Caenorhabditis elegans: one gene and its partners. The protein of the gene in region 2 interacts with the protein of the main gene of each other region in a pairwise test. Each region holds a gene or a part of one and is shown on either strand. Other genes may lie near its edges. The genes, in order: gsto-3, Y47D7A.13 and xbx-6.

Region 1 (5,767 bases), on a different chromosome or scaffold from region 2:
ATCAAAAAATACAACATCTACTTGATTATTGAAATTAAAATTTTCTATATAGGAACTTGATATACCCAATTTCTATTAAAAAATTGAATTCGCGCCGAGCAAAATGTGATGTCAATTTCAGTTTTCCAATTTTCTCAATTTTTTTGACCACTAACTAAAATTTTGATACCAAAGGATTTTTGCTCAAATTTCGAAATAATTGCGGTAAAATTGGCTCTAAACACTAGTTTTTGACCTAGCGAATTTTGATGTCAATTTCAATTTATTTACATTTTATTTGGAAATTTTCTTCACTGCGGATCCCTAGCAAAATTTGTTAAACATCACTTTTCCGAGCAATTTGTGATGTCGATTTCCGTGTCTTTACACGGTTTTTGCCTTTTTGCTTAAATTTTTCAAAAATTTCAGTAAACCCCAACCAAAATGAATTTTACTCACAAATTTCGCTCTTCAATTATTTTTTTAGTGAAATTCACAAAATCTGACCTCACCCTAAATTCCCACTGAGCACATTTGGATGTCGATGTTTGTTCAAGTTTTTGGCCAAGTTTTAAACAATTGCAGTCAAATTCAACCAAATCACGTGGTGTCAGTTTGTCCCATTACGGTTTGATCTACAATGCGGGCATTTTTTGCCCAATCAATTGAGAACTCTGCATCACAGCTACCACATTTTTTGTAGATATACGTAGATCAAACGGAAATTAGACACTCTGGCACCACTTGCCAAATCATATGCAAAACTGCTCAATGGTAGAATTTGACAACCCAAATTGCTCATCAAGTTTTTGTGTCATTTTCCGCGCAAACAGGGATTCAAATTTCTGCCATCAAAAACTCATTTTCTACAAAAGAACTACAAATATTATTTCAAAAAGGCGGCAGTGGTGGTCAAAGAACAAACATCTGAACATATTGAAGAAGGTGTCTCTCTCTCTCTCTCTGTCTTTCCCTGCTCACACAAATCTGTGTGTCTCTCTCCAGAAAATAACAACACTTGAGGTTCACGGGAGGACGGGGGGAGCTCCCGCCTGTGCTCCAACTCTCTTGTCATGCCACTTTATGTTGCTCCAGTGTTTTTGTCTCTCTAAATCTCCAGCTAGCTGTTCTTTCATGTTCCCTTAGCCCCAATACCGCCGCCTTTCGATCTTTTGGCTGTTTTTTGGGGGATATAAGAAGTTTCGAGGAGGAAGACTAGATCTATTCATCCTAAAATAAATTTTTTTTCTTTTTTTTTAGGCTTTATCAGACTCTAAAATGCTCGTACGACACCAAATTCCAGATTTCAGTTTTCTATATTTTCGGTCCTATAATACTATATTCAAAAAATTAGCGTCTTCGAAGGAATCTGACATCTAAAAGTTCTATTGGTCTTTTTTCCGGCAAATCGGCAGATTGCCGAAATCAAAAATTTCCGGCAAATTGGCAAAACGGCAAATTGAGAGATTGCCGGAATTGAAAATTTCCGGCACAGAGGCAAACCGGCAAATTGCTGATTTCTCAGAAAAACTGCAATTGCCGAAAATTTTCGGCTAATTGAGGTTTTGCATTTTATTTTTGGCAAATTGCCTGAATTGGAAATTTCTGGCAAACCAGCAATTTGCCAAAAATGAAAATTTCCGGCAAATTGCCGATTTGCCGAATTTGCTAGAAAAAAAATTAATCGGCAAAATTTTACGCATCTATTTTGAAAAGAAAGCAAATTCTATGAAAATATCTAAAGAAAATCTTTTAAAAAAATGCACAGTTTTAAATGTTTCATTCCTTTCAAAAATCCCTCTAACCGCTTCCGGCAAATTAATATCCGGCAAAGGGCAAATCACCAAACCGGCAAATTGCCAATTTGCCGAACAAAAACAACTGAATTATGCTATTAATAATTCCTGGTTCCTGATTTCCAATTTTTGATTATTTCTTACTCACTTCAGTATCGGAAAACGTTCACAACTTTGGAAAGAATTTGATGCCCGTAATTTGCTGAATAAATTTAATTTTTTCAATGTCCAGATGGTCCTACCTGGGAATTGTTCCACGTCGGCGGCACTATGTATGCAATTCCTCACCCAACTAGCAAGTGTAGCAATTGATCAGGCTTATCAGGTACGCATTACATTTTTTTGCTTCAAAATTCAACTCAGCTCGATTTCCAGCCACCCCAGCAGCCAGCCTACAACCCCCACGAAAAACTATTTGTATCATATCGATCAGTTCCACCGCCAGGATCATCTCCATCATCGGCTGCAGTTCCGATTCGATTCAGCTCATATTCAAGTGTCGGCTCAAATATACGTGGTTTAAACTCTCCAACGTTACATCCGGGTAGTATCGAACCTCCGTTGACACCTGGCAATTATCGATTATATAGTATGCGGTTTTGTCCATATGCACAGAGAGTATTGATCTATTTGGCCAAGAAGAATATTCCGTTAGTTTTTTGTTTTGTTATAAAATTTTAGATGTATTGATTTTGAATGTTTTCACGTGGCCTGGTTACAGTTTGATCTATCAAAAATGCGGGAATAAATAATCGTTAAATAATCGATTTTTAGGTAAATTTTAGAGTTTCGGCAAGTTTCTTTCCGATTGCCAAGTTTTCTTACGGAAAAAAACGCCTGAAAAATTGGCAAATTGTGTTGAAAATTATAAAACCAAGAAAAAACACAAAAAATGTCATAAATGACGTCACAGCCTTTTTTTTTGTTGAAAAATTGAAAAAAATTTAGAAAAGTTCTATAAATTATTTCACAGTTTTTTTCGGTTTATTAGGACGTTGTTTTATTATTTAATACAAAAACCCACAGACGGTACCAGAGGTGGGCGGATATTTTTTTCGGATATTTTCTAATAATGAATTTATCAATAAGTATTGATGTAGTTATTCTGGAACAAATGTATCCGAACAAAAAAGTAACTATTAAGCAACATTTTAATATGATAAAACCTAGAAAAATTCTACAAGTTTTCTGTATAAACAATATGCAAGTCCATTATCCGATATCCGTAATATCCGTAATATCCGATATCCGATGTTGCTCGGCTAATAAGTTTTAAGGTCTCGGTAAGGAAAACTTGTGGAATTTCTCTAGGTTTTATCATATTAAAATGTTGCTTAATAGTTACTCTTTGGTTCGGATACATTTCTTCCAGAATAACTACATCAATACTTATTGATAAATTCATTATTAGAAAATATCCGAAAAATATCCGCCCACCTCTGGACGGTACTTCTCCTTCAAATTAAATTTTTTTCCCAGAAAAGTGTAATTTTCGACAAAATTTTTTTGCAGTTTTGACATTTTGGAATTTTTGGAATTATGACATTTTTGAAACTGTCAAAAATCTCAGGAAACATCTAGCATTTTTCTAGAAATTAAAAGATAAAATTGCAGAACGTTTGCCCACCTTTCACATTTTAAAAAATATGAAAAGTTTGCAAATATCCAGTTTTGGAGCAACATTTTTATTCTAATATTTTTTTTTCACCAAATCGACATTTAGTTTTGTTATAAAAGTCTCAAAGCATTCCTAAAATTCTAAAAATTACCAAATTTCAGAGTAGAAGTAGTAAATGTAAATCCGGATAGAAGTCCCAATTGGTACCTTCCCAAGTCACCAATCGGAAGAGTTCCAGCACTTGAAATTAATGGAAAAGTTGTGTGGGAATCGAATGTCATTGTTGAATACCTTGATGAACTATTCCCAACTAACACTATTTTGCCACGAGATGCATATGAGAAAGCTCACCAGAAAATTCTAGTGGAACGATTGTCGCCGGTTAGTTTTTGAAACTTTGTTCCTCAAAAATCTATGGAAATCCTAATTTTCCGGTCGGAAATGTTTTAAACACATTTTTTTTTCTTAAAGTTTTGGAACGTTATATTTTCTTCTTTTAAATTTGATTATTCACATTGGAAAGTTTTTTTTCAAAATTTCTACGATTTTTTTCTTACAGTTTTTTGACACTTCACAAACTTTCCTAAAGTTTCCAGACATTTTTCAACAAATTTCATGATTTTTTAAAGTTTTAAGAACTTTCCAGAAGTTTCCACACGTTTATTCAAACTTCTAAAAGTTTTCGAAGATTTTTGGAATTTTCCACAACTTTCTAATACTTTTCTGAAGTTTATTGAACGTTATCTGAAATTACTGTAGTCCTACAGTATTCCTACAGTACGAATACAATAACAGGCGGAAAAAATGTCCGGCAAAACGGAAAACTGCCGGAATTGGAAATTTCCCGCAAATCGTGGTTTTGCCTTTTTTTGGAATTTTTAGAAAAAAAATTTTCCGGCAAACCGGCAAATTGCCAGAAATGAAATTTCCGGCAAACCAGCAAATTACCGGAAATGATATTTTCTGGCAAATCGGCAAACCGGCAAACGGCAAGTTTGCCGAACGGCAGTTGCCAACAATCCCCTGCTACAAAGTACACCTTTTTTTCCTTATAAAAAGTCCTTATAAAAATTTTTTGAAATTTTTTTCTTGTTCTTACATTTTGATACTCTTATTGTCGATATTTGGAAAAACTTCGATGAAAAAAAACTGAAACTTTTTTTTTGAAAAACAAAGGAAAATTCAACTTTGATAGTGAGTTCGAAACATTCGATTTGTTTTTTTTTCTATATTTCCTAGTTTTCTAAAAGCTACCCATTTCAGATAATGAACGCGTTATTCGAATTCTACGGTAGTTCCAATAATCCACAGGCTCAACGACAAAACGACATGAATGTTCACAGTGCGCTAAGGAATTCGGAGAATTTGCTCAGAGACACTTTTTACGGAGGTAATTTTTGAAAAATTGCCGATTTGCCGATCTGCCGGAAATTTTCAATTCCGACAGTTTTGGCCGGTTTGCCAATAGCCGGAGTAAATCGTTTTTCGTCCACCCCTAATTCTATCCACAGTTACAAGCCGGGAGTGCATCAAATAGCCACTAAATTTTTTACATTTCCAGGCCGTCAACCAGGATACGCCGACTATTTGATGTGGCCATTCTTGGAACGCCTCCAACTGCTCACAATGTCTCCAAACTCACAATTCCGATATTTCCCAGGACTTCATTACCCGAAAATTGGAGCATATATTGCTAGAATGCAGAATCAGCCAGAGGTATTAGGTTTTTGCAAACACGATTTTTTTTTGAAAAAAACTGGGGAAAAAATATGGTGAAGTTCTGAAAAATCTAATTCCAGATAAAATTCTCATCCCGCCCGCTGACCCATCACAAAGCCTACCTGGATAGTTTTTCAATGGGTGTGCCGAATTATGATTTTGGCATTTATGGGAAAAATTGAACAAAATTTGTAACGAACGTCGTATTTATATAATTATAATAAAGTATTTTTTGAAAAAAAAAACTCTCGATTTTTGGTTAACTAACTCTAAATGTTTGCATGAATTTTCTAACATTTTCCAAAATGTTCAGACAAAGGCAAAACCATAACGCGTAAAGGCGCCCCCTTTAAAGCTGTAGAAGTGGAAAAAACTGCACTGTACGTCATTAAAAAAAATTATCGACTTTGAGAGTGGCCATCTGGGTGTACTCCCATTTTGTAACTTTTTTTTTTTGGTTTTTAGCTAATTTTTCGATTCTTCCAACTACAACTAGTAATTTAAAGACTTTTTTAAGTTTGAAAATTTTCAATTCTGTTTCAAGAGTGTCCATTGAGATGTACTCCCCACTTGTTACCAATTTTTGTAAGTTTCGCGTAACATTATAGTTTTCTGAGCTCCACGAAAATTAAAATTCGATAATATTTTTATTGCT
Region 2 (3,472 bases):
CTCTCAATATACATAAGCTTACCAAATGCCAAAAACTTGGCAACCGACATATGCCGGTTTCTGAAAATTTAAGTTGCCGAAGCAGTAAAATAGAAAAGAATATGCTGATCCAAATTTCAATACGACCTTCACACAAAAAAAAATAAGACACAAACTGATTTGAATCGACAAATATCCTGTTATACTCTAAAAAAATTGTCCTTGTTATGCAAAATCGGTGGGGGTAGCACACGGAACAAAAGCACTGATAAAGATCAGGGTTTTCCTCAAATTTTTTTTGCCAAATAGCTTTGGCAAACGAAAGGAACAGGATTTTTTCAAGAAGCGGAAGGATTTATTTTCCAATGGCAACGCGAAATATGGGGCTAGAGAAGGTGAACACGGTTGCGTCAAAAACAAAAGATAACGGCAGGTTTCTAGAAAAAATGAAGAGATAGGAGAATGAGGGAGAAAGAGGATAGAAAGTTACGTAATGCTGGAAAGGCAAAAAAACTGCGTAAAACATAGAAAAGGCTTTCACTTATTGGGTTATCAATTTTACTAATATGGTGAAAAATGAAAGGAGAGAAGGTGCAGAAAATCACGATTATTTTCAGAAAAAAAAAATCTTAAATCGGAGTAAATTCGTGATGTGCGAGTTATGACTCAGTGAACCTGAGCCCATCGAGGACAGGACACAATGTATTAAGTCTACCATGCCTGCATTGTGCCTACTACGCTTGGACTGTGCCTACGCGTCTACATTCAAAATTCACCTGAATTCTCTTCACGTTTTTTCACAGATGTAAACCAACTCTGTGAAAGCATCAAAAACTACCAAACACCAGAGTTAGGAGACACTAGGCAGGCAGGTACAAGTTAGGTAGGCAGAACTGAATGCTCGCCTGCCTACGGTGAAAGTCCAAGTGGATATTCTAATATTTTTTGGTTTTTTTTAACTTTTTCGAAAAAAAATCATTTAATTTTTTGCTGTCAAAAAGACACCAAAATCCCGATTTTTCGTCAAAACACAAAAAAAAACTAAAAAATGCCTTGGTAGGCAGGCAGGCATGAGGCAAGAAAATTTCTTGGCAGGCAGGTACAGTTTTGGCGTGCCTGCCTGAAACGTGTCGGCACAAATTTCAAAATTTCTTATTTTACCTAAATTTTGAAGAAAATGAAATCCAAAGAAAGTGAAAAATACAAGTTTTTTAGCAGAAGGCGTGAGGTCGCCTTACCGTCAGGCAGGTGCTTGGACGCCTACATGAACGCCTACAAACAGACCGACGCCGATTTTCTTACGTAATAACCCATAAATGTTGCAAATTCATATATTAAAGTTTCGCGGCGTCACTTAGTGAAACCGGAAGTTCCAATGGTCATTTATAAGCTTTGTGTAATCTACTCTCCTATACTTCTACCAAAATGATTGGCAGATTAATTGGTACTATAGAAACTAATTTCTAAGTTCCACCAAACCTCTTGATACAAAAACTATCCACTTAACATTTGTATACCGTTTGTTTACACATCCAAAACCTCATAAAGGAGGTCTTACACTTGACTTAACCTCCTTCTCGAATTATTCAAGAAAAAAACCTCAATGAGAACAATCACAGAATGGCCGCCAAAACCGGTAATTGAGATAGTTATCTTCCCCACTTGGAAGTACCCGCCCAAAAAAATGAGGTGAAGCTGTGAAGAGGGGAGGGGCTTGGCTCTCTGGGGTCTCTTCGGTAGGTGCGATCTCTCGTTTAGAAAGTGTTACGCAAGGTTTCATGATCCATTGGCACCATATATAAAGCCGATTGGTTCAGACGGAATTATTCAATTTAATACGATTTTCTTTTGTGTATTCTCAGATTTTCGCTACTACTATTTTTTCTCTTTTTTATATGTTTTTTCTTTCATTTTATTGAAATGTATAATTTTTTTTTAAATCTTTTCTTACCGTCTACTTCATTTTCACCCTGCTTATTTTTACAAATGAACTTTGCAGAATGAAGTACATCGTCTTCGTTGCTCTCTTCGGATGCTCTAACGCCTTCCTCTTCAACCTTCTCGGAGGAGGTGGCGGTGGCTGCTGTGCCCCACCACCACCACCACCATGCGGTGGAGGATGCGGAGGAGGTGCTCCAGCTGCCGGAGGTTACGCCGTCGCCCCACAAGCACCAATCGGTGGAGGATACGCTCAACCAGGAGGTGGATACGGAGGAGCTGGAGGATTCGGAGGAGCTTACCAAGCCGCCCCAGCCATCGGAGGAGGAGGCTCATACGCCGGAGCTGGACCAATTGGAGGAGGATTCGGTGGAGCTCAAGGAGGTTACGCCGGAGCTGGACCAATCGGAGGAGGAGCTCAGGGAGGATACGCCGGAGCTGGACCAATCGGAGGAGGAGCTCAGGGAGGATACGCCGGAGCCGGACCAATCGGAGGAGGAGCTCAGGGAGGATACGCTGGACCAATCGGAGGAGGAGCTGGATACCAAGGAGGAGCCCCAGCCCAAGGAGCCGGATACCAACAAGGACCAGCTGTCGGAGGAGGAGCCGGATACCAGCAACAAGCCCCAGCTCAAGGAGCCGGATACCAGCAACAAGCCCCAGCTCAAGGAGCCGGATACCAGCAACAAGCCCCAGCCGCCGTCGTCACTGAGCAACAACAAGTCGGACAAGGATACCAACAACAGCAACAAGCCCCAGTCCAAGAGCAAGCCCCAGCTCCAGTCCAAGAGCAGGCTCCAGCTGCCTCATACGGAGAGCAGGCTCCAGTCCAAGCCCAACAAGAGACTGTCCAACAAACCTTCGAAGCCGCCCCAGCTCAAGCTCAGCCAGCCGCCGAGTACGGAGCCCAGCAGCCAGCTGTTGCCGAGCAAGTCGTTGAGACTTCCGCTTCCGGATACCGCCAGAGATTCCACCTCAAGAAGGCCGCCAAGGCATAGATTCGATGATATATTTCTCTAACTGTTTTTTTTTTGGTTTTATGGTTTTTTCTGTATATTTCTCGTTAATGAGTCAAAATTTGGTCTTTCAATGAACTTTGTTCTCTTGATTTGAGTTTGTATTCTTATAGACTTATGAAAAAAAAACACGGGATAATCATCTGAATCTCGAGGCAGCATGTGAGAAAAATAGCAGGAATTTTTGTTTTAGAACATTGTTATAAAAGTGAAAATTGGTTCAAAGAAAAATATAAATATCAATTTTGAACGGAACTTTTTGTGTTTAAAAATTCAAAAAAAGCAACATTTAAAAAAAGAAAAATCGGAAGATCAAAGTTTCATACATTCAAAGTCAATTATCTCTAAAACTTAAAAATTCACAAGTTTCCACAATTTTTTTCAGTCGTTGGACTGCTTAAAAACTCTCAACTAATGCAATTGCCTATTGATATTTTTAAAAATAACCGAGATATAACTTTTCAAAATAAAGTAATCACAGTAGAAATGGTACGCAAAAACAAAGTTCAAATCGAAATTTGAAATTTGTCTTAACAATT
Region 3 (4,646 bases), 5.3 Mb from region 2:
ATAGGGTAGGCTACGGTAGGATTGCTGGAAACATGTGTTAATTTTCGTAAAAGGAAATCTAAAATTATTGTATATTTCAGACTCTCTCGGCAGCAGTCATGACAATGTTTGTTACTGCTTGTTATAATGTTCAATCAGTTTTAATTTGTCTATGTATCACCACAGTATGCAGTGGATCAGTCATTATTTTCTCGATGAAAACGAAATCAGATTTGACGAGCAAAATGGGAATCGCTTTCATGCTTTCAATGGTTCTTTTCTCATTTGGAATCTTTGCACTCATCTTCACTTTGGCATTCAATTGGCAATTCCTTTATTCCGTTTATTCTGGACTTGCTGCTCTTTTAATGATGTTCTATTTGGCTATTGATGTACAACTTCTGATGGGTGGTCGTAAATATGAATTATCACCAGAAGATTACATTTTTGCTGCGATGGAAATCTTTTTGGACATTCTGAATATCTTCCTGATGCTTCTCAACATCTTTGGAAGAGGTCGTTAGATCTTTTCACATTTTTATATGTTTTATTGTTTGCTGTAAATACATGTTTTATTTCATTCAAAAATATATATTAAGTTTCATTTCACAAATAATTACGAGTTTAAGCGGGAAAGTAGCGAACGAGACATCTTAAACAACAGCAGTTTTCGTTTCTTTTTGTTAGAAATTTTTCGGGGTGAGGGACAGAGCAGGGGACAGGCAAAGAAGAACAAAGTGAACTACCAGTGTGTAAATTAGGCATGGAATCTAGTATAGAACAGAAAAAGAAGAAGGAATTGAAGAATCGAGAATCGATGAAGTCGGGTGAAGGCCGTTGTTTAGTCGCTGAAAAATACAATAATTAGGTTTACAAGTTGATAAAAAGCTTTTCACAACATAGAAACTGAAAATTGTTGCTTTTATCAACCAAATGATTCACATATTATCGAAAAAATACGATCGCACAAATTTCTCATAATTTATTTTTGATCTACCCTGTTGACTAGGCTCCTCCCCTTCCTTCGACAAGACAGCCACAACAAAATAACAGCGGCAACAAGATTGGGGGAGGAGCCTAGTCAACAGCGTAGATCAAAAAAAAATTATGAGAAATTTGTGCGATCGTATTTTTTCGATAATACACATTCATTTAAATTGGCACAATGTTACTAATACAGCGTTAGTGAACAATGACACAAAAAAATCTAAAAAGTAAACGTGCCTTTTGAAATACCACAAACTCAACCGCCTTACCACACGAAATGTGATAGAGAAATAGAAGATTCAGTTTCTGGAAATAACCAGAGGGTTTATTGAGAATGTCTAGCTAAATTTCAAAGTTTCCCAATGAATTTCTTACCTGGATCCGAACAAACTGAGAAGGAACCAGAACATCTGGACAATGTCAATGAAGATTTGAACAGAAGCAAAAATATATTCTTCTGGTGAGATTTCGTATTTCTTTCCTCCCATCAGCATTTGAACGTCGAGGAAGAGGTAGAGCATCATGATAAGAGCACCACCGAGAGCATATACCATCATCAAGAACTTGATCTTGAAGAACATTGAGCAGATCACGACAACAAGTCCGAAGAACATGAAGCACATTGAGATGATTAAGATATATCCCATGTGGCTGAAAATTTAGTATTTCGGATATATTTTTTGAAGATCAGTGGTTATAAATTATTCGTCATCATTCTAATTTCTGAACTAAGTTTAGTTTTTGCCAATTTTGCTATTTACAAAAATTAATCTGCGTACATCTTGTCAGAACATATTTAATATATTAAAAATTAGTTTCAAATTCGACTAAATAACCTAGGTACCTTAAATTTCAGAAAATTGGTGCTTGTTAGAGTATAAATCCGCTTATTGCAGGTTTAGCACAGCATTTGAAAAAAAGATTTGATTTAAAAAAAAACTTACGCAGTCAAATCGAATTTCGTCTGAGAGGCGACAATGACAATGGAGAACGTACATCCAATGCAGATCGCCAATGCCAGAAGAACCACGTTAGCATCATGATGAGCTGAAATGACCATGGTCATAACTGAAGTTGCTAGAGTCTGAAAACGATTTTTGGATTGATAAAGGGAAACTTGTTATATTAAAATGAACTTACGAAGATTCCAGTGACAATCAAATTAACTGGGAATTTACGACGAACTCCTTCACAGCAAACCAATGACAAGTAGGTAACGAAGAAGATTACACTGGAAATATTAAATATTAATCAAGATTTCAATTTATGTACATACTAGGACCCAAGGTAGAGAGCCGAATTTCTGCGGACCATTCTCATCGTATCATCATGAACCCACGGGATAACAGTGACTGCGGCAACGATGCAAAGCTAAAATTTTTTGAAAATAGATTTAAAACTTTTTGAAAGTACTACTTACCATGATAAAGACCAAACTGAAAACTTTTCGAACGAAAGCAGCGCGGACAGTCTTATCAGAAAATTGGAATGAATACTTTCCATCTGGATTGTCTCCACCACCGTGTTGCCCATTTTCCATCTGATTGAACATAGCTCCGTGCATTGGTGGCGGTGGTGAGAAATAGGCTCCACCTTAAGAATATTGAGGTTTTGAATCGTTTTAAAACAGTTAGTTGTGAAAATATAATTTAATACGTTTCAATGTAAAATTTTTGAAAAAAATCCACCTTGCGCATTAACAAATTTTGTCGATTTTTTTTCGGGTTTCCTTTGGTATTTCGATTAATGACGTCACATTACAAAAATACAATTAAAAAATGATCAAATTTATTGATCGAAGAGCTAGTTGCTAAAAGTTTCGATATCTTCTTTACTTATTTATTTTGGAAGTTAAAATATTCTTAATTTATGTCTAACTTCTGATATCGCTGACTTTTTTATTTTGTTTTTAAAAAATCTCTCACCTTGATTTTGATTTTGTCCGTCGCCTGTATTGAATCCTGGTGGCGGAGGGCCTTGATTGGGGTAGGGATTCTGATAAGCCGGGTTGTATGGCTGTTGATTGTACGACATATCTGGAATTAAATAATATTATTGAAACGAAAATACAAGAATAAAATGTAGTCAACAAGTGAGATAGAAGCAAAAAAGTATAGAATTTCATGGAAATGGCAATTTAAAAAGTCCCAGTTGTTTATCACATTACTCGAGTTTCCATGGAAACATGGTTCTCCAGCTCACGAGGGGAATTTCTCGTCTGTTTTCAGACAAATTCTAGTAGCTAGAGAAATGTGCGTCAGTTATAGGAAGAAATAAGATTATTTTAAGGCTTAGAGGGAAAGTCATATCTAGATTGAAGGATTAGAATGGTTGAGAAGATGAAAATAATTTGATTGTTTTCAGGAATGAAGAATTTGTCATATTTTAGTTTAAAAAGATGAGCTTCTACAGATTTAGTATTAAAATTGTGTGTTTTATACTGGTGCTCGGATTTTTAAGAAGACAAAATATTATAGAAAGATTTTCAGATGCAGTTACAAATAACTCAAACTCCGGTACTTTCTGGTGTTGCTAGAGCACGAATTTTTAGCGTTCGAGCAGAAAGAACGAATGTACTCATATTTGTCGATAGGAAAGTAAATACGCTCAACGTTCTTCGTTCGAAAACTGAGACGGGTATTATCTTTCTCATTCATGCCTAGACTTCAAATAAGTAGAAAAACCAAAATGCAGTGGAAGAAGAAGACGTGTGATTTCGCAACAGAATGGCACGTCTTCTTCACTTTCACGAGAATGCAGCATCGGGCAATTGTGATGAGATCTCGTTGAGAGAAGAGACGCAGTAAACTGACCAAGGCTTTGGATATCTGCGTCTCTATTGTTTGCAATGGTCGGGGTTTGCCTCGTCAAAAAAAAATCGATGTCGACCAGAAAACAAGAGTTTTAAGTAGTTCTCAATATAGAGCATCTATTCAAAAATGTAGGTTTTAGTTTGAACGGTGACTTTTTTGTATTGTCGGAACAAGAACGACGTGATAATCTATGAAAAACAGGAACAGAGAAAGCAATGAAACGTTGTCTCTCTTTTACTCGCCAGGTCAAACAAAAAATACAACGACCTCGGCCAAAGGAGAGAAACAAGAGAAACGCATGTGTTGATGCTCGAAGACCACTACTCTTTTGAAAAAGCAGTGAAGCTTAAAAGCAGTGTTTCACATCTAACACTGGAACATGAATCGAAAGAAAAACTATATCATAGAGATATAGAAATTTTTAAAGTGAGGGAACAGTTGTATAGAATGAAAAATGTTGAGTCACCGTTGAGAGATCAAGAAATCTCTGTAGAAAAACGGAAGAGATGAGGAGAAAGTGAAAACATCAAAAGTTTGAACAAAAAATTTCATCAACAATAGTGAGATGATCAATAAGTTAAATGCTAACAATCTCGAAACTTTTACATAATTTACTAAGTTTTTCTAAGCTTAAAAAAATTCCAGACGATAAAACAGATTACAAAATCCAAAATTTTATTAATTTTTTAAAAACTTTGTATGATTTTGATTCCCTACGGAAGACAATAGAAGGGAAATGAAGAGAGAAATCGAAAAAAGCGTGAAAATTCATCGCAGAATTTCTACAGTACACTTAAAGGCGCATGCGTCAAAAAATAGTTCGCGGGGCGACACCCAATCGCGCGCTATCGTGCGTCTCCCTTGAAA

Evidence for each region.
Region 1: the proteins of Y47D7A.13 (region 2) and gsto-3 interact in a two-hybrid assay, tested with the Caenorhabditis elegans proteins (one large-scale study listed by BioGRID).
Region 3: the proteins of Y47D7A.13 (region 2) and xbx-6 interact in a two-hybrid assay, tested with the Caenorhabditis elegans proteins (one large-scale study listed by BioGRID).

What each region holds. Positions count from the first base shown.
Region 1 is NC_003281.10:377,539-383,305, reverse strand, and holds gsto-3 (Glutathione-dependent dehydroascorbate reductase), read left to right. Parts: upstream 1-2,007; coding exon 2,008-2,100; intron 2,101-2,150; coding exon 2,151-2,425; intron 2,426-3,554; coding exon 3,555-3,774; intron 3,775-4,656; coding exon 4,657-4,783; intron 4,784-4,954; coding exon 4,955-5,169; downstream 5,170-5,767. Other genes in the region: K10F12.7 (Ovule protein), read left to right, coding at 736-1,125.
Region 2 is NC_003283.11:4,434,435-4,437,906, reverse strand, and holds Y47D7A.13 (Prion-like-(Q/N-rich)-domain-bearing protein), read left to right. Parts: upstream 1-1,979; coding exon 1,980-2,915; downstream 2,916-3,472.
Region 3 is NC_003283.11:9,703,714-9,708,359, reverse strand, and holds xbx-6 (Protein lifeguard 1-like), read right to left. Parts: upstream 3,005-4,646; 5' UTR 3,001-3,004; coding exon 2,892-3,000; intron 2,560-2,891; coding exon 2,387-2,559; intron 2,338-2,386; coding exon 2,243-2,337; intron 2,198-2,242; coding exon 2,107-2,197; intron 2,051-2,106; coding exon 1,911-2,050; intron 1,618-1,910; coding exon 1,342-1,617; exon of another isoform or gene 1,273-1,341; coding exon 1,266-1,272; 3' UTR 1,236-1,265; exon of another isoform or gene 1,020-1,235; intron 828-1,019; coding exon of another isoform or gene 821-827; 3' UTR 533-820; downstream 1-532. Other genes in the region: tag-120 (Transmembrane BAX inhibitor motif-containing protein 4), read left to right, coding at 81-503.